2 linked regions of the Macaca fascicularis genome follow. The protein of the gene in region 1 purifies or fractionates together with the protein of each later gene. This does not show direct contact. Links are inferred from orthologs where the notes say so. Each region holds a gene or a part of one and is shown on either strand. Other genes may lie near its edges.

Region 1 (4,285 bases):
AGGCAGCTGTTTGCATCTGGCTACACAGCTGGCTGCAGCTAAGCCCAGCTGGCTCTCCCAAATGGCCGAGGGGTTGAATGGCCAAGGGGTTGAATTCAGTGAGATGACAAGAAAGGCCAAGATACAGAACCACCCTTAGGAAAGACTGAGGATACTCAAGGGAGAGAACTCCTGCCCCTCAGAGGTTCATTAGCTTTAGAACCTTCTGGGCTCCTGGCAGGCTGAATGCCAGCTCCAGTTTCCCAGAGAGAAAAGTAGAACCCCTTTGCTCAGCCACCTTGGAGGGGGCTCATGGGTAATGAGGATGCATCCAGGTTCTGGCCTCAGCGCAAGAGCCTTCAGGTGCTCCTTGGAGAAAGGCACATGTGCAGAGGATTTTACACACTTTATCTAGTTACAGCCCCACTAACATCCCAAAAGAAGGCATGCTATTCCCCTCCCTCCAACACGTAAGGAAATTCAGGTTCAGGTATTGGTAACAGATCTGAGACAGGACACTGGCCATGGGACCTCCAAGCCTCTTCTCCCTCTACCATATCAAGTTGACTCTCACAGGCCAGCAGCAGTGGGAAAGAGCACTAGATCCAGGTCCAACCCCTTTTGGGGGAAACCTGGCCCAGGGAGGGGACCTTGCTCAAGGTCACCAGGCAAAAGGGGGAGGGGTTGAGGAATCATTATTGACTCTTTCTTTCCAGTCTGATCTCTTTACCTATGTTATCTTATATCATGCAGATTTGGCATTGAAAGTCTGAAAATCTTTTTCTTGGTTAGGGCAGAAAGAGTGCTGATGTAGAAACGTGTGCTCCTGGTGGCTCAGGATCTCCAAAAGATAGAGGGTTGGCTAAGGCCAGGTGGCAGCTGCTGGGGCCAGGCAGGGAAGGGTGTGGTAGCCCTAGCTTTTGCAAGAGCAAGATGGAGTTGAGGTTAAGTCCAGGTAGGCAGGCTAGGTCGGGAGGGCAGAACCAAGGCAGGGTCAGAGTTTGGACTTTGGACATTCTAAACTTCCTCAATCTCTGCAGGCCCCAACCGGAGCAGGGAGAGATTTCAGTGTACCCTGAATGTGACTACATCTTCTTGTTCAGTGGGGTCAGAGGCCAGGTGGGGGCAGAGGCTAGGAGGGGGCAGATCACCCAGCCCAAAGAGGTGGATGGTACCTGCTTAACCTGTCCTAACCACCATCCCTCTTTGGACAGCTTCACCTCCCCAGCCACCAACCTCGGCATGCTCTGAGGCCACAGCAGAGAGACCTCTGAATCCTGGACATGCTACTGGGCATGAGTGTGTCTGGTGGAGTGAGGGGGACCCAGGCGGCTGGGTGCAACCTCCTCCTCCTTCCTCCCCTATGCATAGCTCTTCCCCTCCTCCTTGCAGCTGTTGGGGAAGGAGAACAGAAGAAAGAGAAAAACACTGTTTCCCTCTTCAAACCAAAACAAACACACTCAGGGTTGAAGATCCAACACGAATCCGTGGAATGCAGGGAGGATGTCTGTGGGGAGAGTGCCACTGCTTGGGGGTGGGCAGGAGGAGACGCAGCCAGAGCTCGGACAAGTCCTCCTCTCTCTTCCACTGCCGCTATCCTCAAGGCGTCAAAGGGAGCGTATGGACAGCTCCAAACGCCCAGACTCACCCATCACCTCACCCTCCATCCGCCAAGCCAGCGGTTGAGAAGGCCATCCAGTCTGGCTCTGCAGAGGGTGTGGCTGGCGTGGCCGCAGACTACCAGCGAGGTGCTTAAATGCATATGCTCATTTTTCTCCCAAGCGTAGGGGAAGGGGGGTCCGCTGGGTGTTTATCTTGCAGTTTACCCCAGCTCCCAGCCCTGGAGAGAAGAGGCTAGTGCTGGGTACTCGGTTCACATAATGGGAGAGGACTCAGTCACCGGGACCCCACTTCCGCTCTCAGGAGAGATCTAAAGGGCGGAGGGGTGGCGTCCAGACAGGTTCTGGCCCCGTCAGCACTTGCCAATGATTACTGCCCGACCTCACACCCAATCCTCCACTTCCCGCCAACCCCCAGCAGCCAGTGGGCCGCCTGGGTACCCGCCCCTTAATCCTGGCTCCCAAGGGCCAGCTGCCCCGGACTCCGACTCCGCTCCGGACCCGCATCCCCCGCACGCACACTCTCGCTCCCACCCCACAGCCTCCAGCTTCACTTACAGGTAGCGCTGCTGCCGCTCTGTCTGCCGATGGAGGGCGACCGAGTAGCCGAAGAGGCTGCCCGGGTTCCCGGCCTCTTTCACTACCAGGAATCGGGTATCCAGGTTGAAGGCGGAGACTACGCAGCCGCCGGCTGCCACCATCAACGCGCAAAGCATCAGGCGTGGGGCGCGGGGCGCGCGGCTGGGGCCAGGGCCCATGGCTGCGAGCGGGAGCGGGGTCCGGGCGAGAGCGCGTGAGAGCGCGGAGCTGGGCGTGAGGACCTGTTCACCTGCTCCCCGCGCCGCCGGAGGACACTGAAACCCGCCGGCCGCTGCGCTCCGTAGTGCTGATCGGTTTCGTGCCCCCAGCCTCGGCCAATTTCACAGCTGCGCTCTCGGATCCCCTCTTAAGATCCGTGGGTCTATCTTCCCGTCTCCCCAGCGGCCGGGTCGCCGCCGTCCCTGCCCCGGGCAACCGGCCCCCAGCTTGTCCCGGCCGCGCCCCCTTGGCCGCGCTGTTGCCTTCGATCCCGGCTTCGCGGCGGATCTGGCAAGCGCACCGGTCGACCGCAAGGAGGACAGGAGGGAGGGGTCCTGCGGGGCGCGCCCCGCCTCTCCACGCCCAGTCCCGCACCTCACCACCTTGCGAGCCCAGCCCGGGCTGCGCTTTCCTTCCGGGGAAAGAGAAAAAGGTCCCGGCTCGGCCACCGCCTCTTAAAGGGGCAGCACCGCCCCTCCCTCCTCATCCTCCCTACCCCAGCTCCGCCTTCTCCCCCAAACACCTGTCGGCAACACCCAAAGGCTTAGATTTCCCCTCCCCGCCCCTCGCTTCTCTGGGAAAGGGTCGTCTCGGGAGCAAGATGGATGTGACGGGCGGAGCCGGGGGTGGGATTTGTCCGGCCGCTTTCCTGCCTCTGCTGCTGCTGCTGAAAAGGCCAGCCCGCTGGAGAGACCTGGCGTTGGCGCATCTGGGAACAGACTTCCGCGCGCGGCTGGCTGGAATGCTGGACTCGCCTCCGCAGCGCTGTGAGTCCCCAAGAGGTGGCTGTCGGTCCCTGGGAGTTCTTCCTCTCACCCAGGCTCCTCGCTGTGTTTGCAGAGATTTATTTCTCCTGTCCACTCATCCGGATCCGAGCTGAGATTGGCCCCTCAGCAAAGACAGACATATTTAGCAGTGGTAACAACCAAATGTCGCTAATTGTAATTACCAAAAAGCATTTTTTTCCCTGCGACTTCTGGTATCAAGGGATAAGACTGTCAATGTAGAAATGAGTCCCTCCTTCACAGAAAGCACTGCGTCGCCAGGAAGCTGAGCCTAGACCGTACCCATTTCTCGTCCACTCCTGCCTTCAGGGCCCAGCCCAGAGAATCCCAGAGGCTCCCTCTTCCTACCCAAGCTTGAACAGAGTGTTTGGAGACTGGGCTTGGACGTCAGCCCCCATCAGGTGTTTGGTGGGTAGCGCCAGGTGGCGGTAGGTGGGCGGAGCCTAAAGGTCTCCTCCACCAAGGAATCAAATTGAAAGGGAACTTCAAGAGGTTACGCTGGCCAGGCGCGATGGTTCACGCCTGTAATCCCAGCACTTAGGGAAGCCGGGGCGGGCGGATCACGAGATCAGGAGTTCGAGACCAGCCTGGCCAATATGGTGAAACACTGTCTCTACTAAAAAATTACAAAAATTAGCCGGGCGTGGTAGCGGATGCCTGTAGTCCCAGCTACCTGGGGCAGGAGAATCGCTTGAACCCGGGAGGCGCAGGTTGCAGTGAGCCGAGATCGCGCCACTGCACTCCAGCCTGGGCGACAGAGTAAGACTTCGTCTAAAAAAAAAAAGAGGTAATTATGTACTTTCTTAGATCTAACTCACATTTCTCTTGCTGCAGCTCAGAGACCCATTTTCCCCAGAGCATTTTGTTTTGTTTTGTTTTTGTTTTTTGTTTTGTTTTTGTTTTTGAGACGATGGAGTCTCACTCTGTCTCCCAGGCTGGAGTGCAGTGGCGCTATCTCCACTCACTGCAACCTCTGCCTCCCGGATTCAAGCGGTTCTCCTGCCTCAGCCTCCTGAGTAGCTGGGATTACAGGCGCCTGCCACCATGCCCAGCTAGATTTTTGTATTTTTAGTAGAGACGGGGTTTCACCATGTTGGTCAGGCT
Region 2 (4,123 bases), on another chromosome or scaffold:
TTTTAATCAATGAGACAAGTCTAATGATAATAAACAGGAAAATAACAGCAATGTGCTAACAGTGGCTGTTTCTGATGAGCAGAATTTTGAGTTCTGTTACTTTTACTTCTTGGTATTTCGGTTGTTTCTGTAATGACTATATCTTGCTTTTGCAATAATAAAGGACGCTAAAGGAAACTTCATTTTGAAAATAATACAAAGGGATTCTGGAACTTCAAAGGACGGGGACTCTCCTCGTCCACTCCGGAGAATCAGGAAAGGAGTGTTTAAAGACCCGCAGAATTCCTACAAGTGACGTGGGGAGGGCCAGCCAGCCAGCGCGCATGCCGGCCAGAGAGCGAGGTGGGCTCTGGGTCCGGGAGATGTCAGATCAGTGCTCTGCACAGGGCCTGGAAGGCAGGACGAGGCATTTCGACTTAGGTCCTTGAATCTGGAGAGCTACAGAAAGTTTGTGAGCTGAAGAGAAGCGCTCCGAGCTTGGCATCTGGAGCAGTCCAAGGCAGCAGCGAACACGTCCAAAGACGCAGGAGGGAGGGTGGGGGAGTAGAGAGAAAACAGAAGCCGTTTACAAACCCTTTTCCCCTTTAGGGCAACTAAACCTCAAGTGCAGGAAGCGCTTGGGGACTGCCCAGCCCTCAGCTATGTTATCATTCGGTGATAGGTACTTGCTAATGACTTCCAAAAGCCTCCCATCTGTCATCCCACCCAGACTGCGCGCTTCTAATTCCTCCTACCCCACATGCTGTGCCCAATGAAAAGTATGGCCAGCGAGCGAAGGCTTGCAAGGAGGCAGCCGAGGGCGAAATGAAGCCAGGCGGCTTCCCTTTAAATCCTCGCAAAGCAGAAGGGCCCCTCATTCCGGGACCAGGCCTTGGACAAGGGGCCTTTAGCCCGGACGACCCGGGGAGAGTCTCCCAAAGTAAAGAGCCGGGTCGGGCGCCCAGACCAAACCGGGGGAACCGGAAGGGCGAGGCCGCCACAGAAGTCCGCGGTAAAAGTGGCAGGGAGTGGCTGCCTGGAAAGACCCCAAGACGGCTGGAAGGGGGGGGGGTGGCGGGTGGGGGTTAGGGCGACTAGGCGGGGAAACAGGGAGAGGGTCGGGCTCCGACGGGCAGCTGGGGCCGAGACACGCCGGACCTGGGCGGGGGCAGGGGGCGGGGTGCGGCCCGGGCGGGGCCGACGGGGCGGGGCCGAAGGGGCGGGAGGCGTGGCCGGCGGGGGAGTGGGGGGCGGCTTTTCCCGGCACATGCGCACCGCAGCGGGTCGCGCGCCCTAAGGAGTGGCACTTTTTAAAAGTGCAGCCGGAGACCAGCCCACAGCCGCCTGTATCTGTGTCCAGCCCGGGTACCGCCTGTCCCAGCTGCGCTCGCCCCTCAGTCCCGCACCCGTTCGACCCAGGCTAGGTTAGCCCTCACCATGCCGGTCAAAGGAGGCACCAAGTGCATCAAATACCTGCTGTTCGGATTTAACTTCATCTTCTGGGTGAGTGAGCGCGACTGCCGCACGCTCCACTCAGGGGCCACCTGTTCGCGGACCCCGGACACTGGCCGCGGGTGCTGGCAGCTGGCACTGCCCGCACCGGGCAGGCACCGGGCGGGAAGAGAGGGGGCCCTGCGGCTGCCAGCTGGCTCCAAGGCCGGGTCCAGAGCCGGGCGGGACGGCCGCGACGGGCGCATTCGGGTGGGGGCTCACCACCGCCCAGCGGGCGTGGGGAGCCGGGCCCTCCTGGGATGGGGCGTGCGGGCGGGTCCTGAGCCCTTTCCCTCGCCTAGGATTTGAGCTGGGCTGTGTGTCTGCTCCCAGCCCAAGCCCCTCCAAGTGCCAGAGGGGAAGGCAGGGAGAAGCGGAGCACCCCTCTTTGGGCCAGGGCCAAGGAGGACTGTGGTGAGCAGTGCGGCTCGTGACTGGGTGGGGTCTCCCAGGTAGTAGGGGGCGCGAGGAAGGGAGGGTGCGGGCACGGCGAGAGCTCAGCCAAGAGCTGCTCTCACTTTTACACAGGAGCGGAAGGGGTGCCTTGGCTGCGGGTCCGGCCCCGGCACCCAGTCCCTGAGAGTCGGGGGCTCCTCCACCCTTGAGGAGGAACCTCGCAGGTCCCGGTTCCCTCAGACTTTGATTCTGAACCACCGTGAGAGCGCCAAACTCCCTGGCAGCTACTGAAAGACTAGCTTGTCTTGATTTCTTTCAAGGCTGATAAGTATCTTCACTGGAGAGAACTCTGGGAGCTGGGGAGAGGAGAGGAGAGGGCAGATACCTATCTGCGCCTCTAGTGGGATGAGTCCTGTGTGTGCATTTCCGGGAGAGATCAGGTGCCAGCCAGCTGCCCGCCCAGGACAGCCTTGGCCTTGCCCCCTCCCCTCCCCGCCAGCCCAGGCGGCCCACCCAAGGCCAGGCAGGGCGCAGAGCGGACGTTCATCCGGAGAGGCCAACGAGGCCAGGAGCTCCAGGGACACCCACTGCAGGCCACTCAGCCTCTACAAATGGGAAGACAGAGAGGTGACAGAAGCAAGGAATAGGAAACCTTTGTGTCCTTGTTTCTGTAGCCACATTCCCTACACACGCATGACAATACTTGCCCCTCTGCAGGCAGTAAGATAGTCTGTGTGCCACTCTCAAGATGGATGTAGAAACAGGTGCATGCCACCAGAGTCTTGTAACAGAAAAAGTGCACTTGGCCAGGCACAGTGGCTCATGCCTGTAATCCCAGCACTTTGGGAGGCTGAGGCAGGAGGATTGCTTTCATCCAGGTTCAAGACCAGCCTGAGTAACATAGTGCATTAGACCCCATCTCTACAAAAAATAAACAATTAGCTGGGCGTGTTGGCATGCACCTGTGGTCCCAGCTACTCAGGAGGCTGAGATGAGAGGATCACTTGAACCTGGGAAGTCAAGGCTACAGTGAGTCATGATTGCACCACTATACTTAGCCTGGGTGACACAGTGAGCCCGGTCTCAAAAAGAAAAAAAAAGAAAGTGTACTTATTCCCCTGGTCACTGAGGTCCCCACAAGCCTCCTTAGGGAAATCTCCTAAGATTTACTCCTCCCCAGAGCTGAAGGGGTGGTCGAACAGATTTTCCAGTTTGTAGAGATTGACCTCCCCTAGTGCATCAGTCACCATAACACACGCCCTAGTGAGGACAACATGTAGGTGTGCTCCTGCCCAACCCTTGACTTGCTTTAAGAAGACCCTGCCGGCCGTGGGCACCCCTCTCCTCCTGTGTTGCTACCCACCCCAGCAACCAGCCAGCTGCCACGCTTAGCTTCTTCCTTTCACCAATCCCTGGCAGCAGAAAAGTATGTGGGAAGGCAGCTGGCCTCACCCACCCTTGACCTTTGGGAGTTTTCCTCTCCCCTCCCAGGTACAGTCTCTCCCTGCCTGTGTTGGTTCGTCCCCAGCTGTCTGCCTAGACTGCATCCAGGTTTGGGACTGCAGGGAAACACAGACGGCCACCGTGTGCCTCCCTACCCCCATCTGCCCCATGGCATATGCAGGAAGCTGATGCGAGGCTCCCACGGCCAGTAGTATCTACTCTGTCTGTGGCCTGCTGGCCTGCAATCTGTCCGTACTGTCCTCAGCCTGCCACCCCCCTCGTATTCAGAGCCCCCTACCCCTGGCCCCGGCCTAGGTGCAGCTGATGAGCTATGTAGTCTGAAACAGAAATCACTCGCACTGGAAATGTTTGGAATGACTTGAAGATCGTACATTCCAGCCCTCTTATCCATAGTGAGGCAGCAGAGGAAGAGAGATGGGGTGATTTACCCAGGATCACAGAGCCAGAGCCAGTATTACAACTCCTGGGGCCCTTACTTCTGTCCTCTTCCATCTTCATCAGAAGCAGGAAGGTGGGCAGTAGCTATGCTTTCCTGAATTACTGCTCATTTGTCTGGTATCTGGGTCCCTATGGAGACGAAGCCCTCATCCCTAGGAGATGATGTAATGAAAAGGAAGACTGTGGTCGGTCCACTTGTGCAGAGTCTTAGTCTTTAGAGCCTTTCTTGTTCTAGCCCCATGATGTAGCCAAGAGCAGGACGCATTGTCCCCACTATACTGACGATCAGGAAACTATTTCCCAGGGAGGTTAGGTGACTTATCCAAGATGACGGGGCAGGGTGGTCTCAGAACTA

What was found. Proteins that work in one complex are often made in the same cells at the same time.
Region 2: the proteins of ITGA3 (region 1) and CD9 purify together in Homo sapiens (affinity purification with western blotting; 3 studies listed by BioGRID and IntAct, with this or other methods). This does not show direct contact. The link is inferred for Macaca fascicularis from reciprocal best matches to the Homo sapiens genes ITGA3 and CD9.

The regions. Positions count from the first base shown.
Region 1 is NC_088390.1:56,658,200-56,662,484, forward strand, and holds the start of ITGA3 (integrin alpha-3), read right to left. Parts: upstream 2,803-4,285; 5' UTR 2,357-2,802; coding exon 2,157-2,356; intron 1-2,156.
Region 2 is NC_088385.1:7,101,188-7,105,310, forward strand, and holds the start of CD9 (CD9 antigen), read left to right. Parts: upstream 1-1,317; 5' UTR 1,318-1,416; coding exon 1,417-1,482; intron 1,483-4,123. UniProt on the Homo sapiens protein: Integral membrane protein associated with integrins, which regulates different processes, such as sperm-egg fusion, platelet activation and aggregation, and cell adhesion.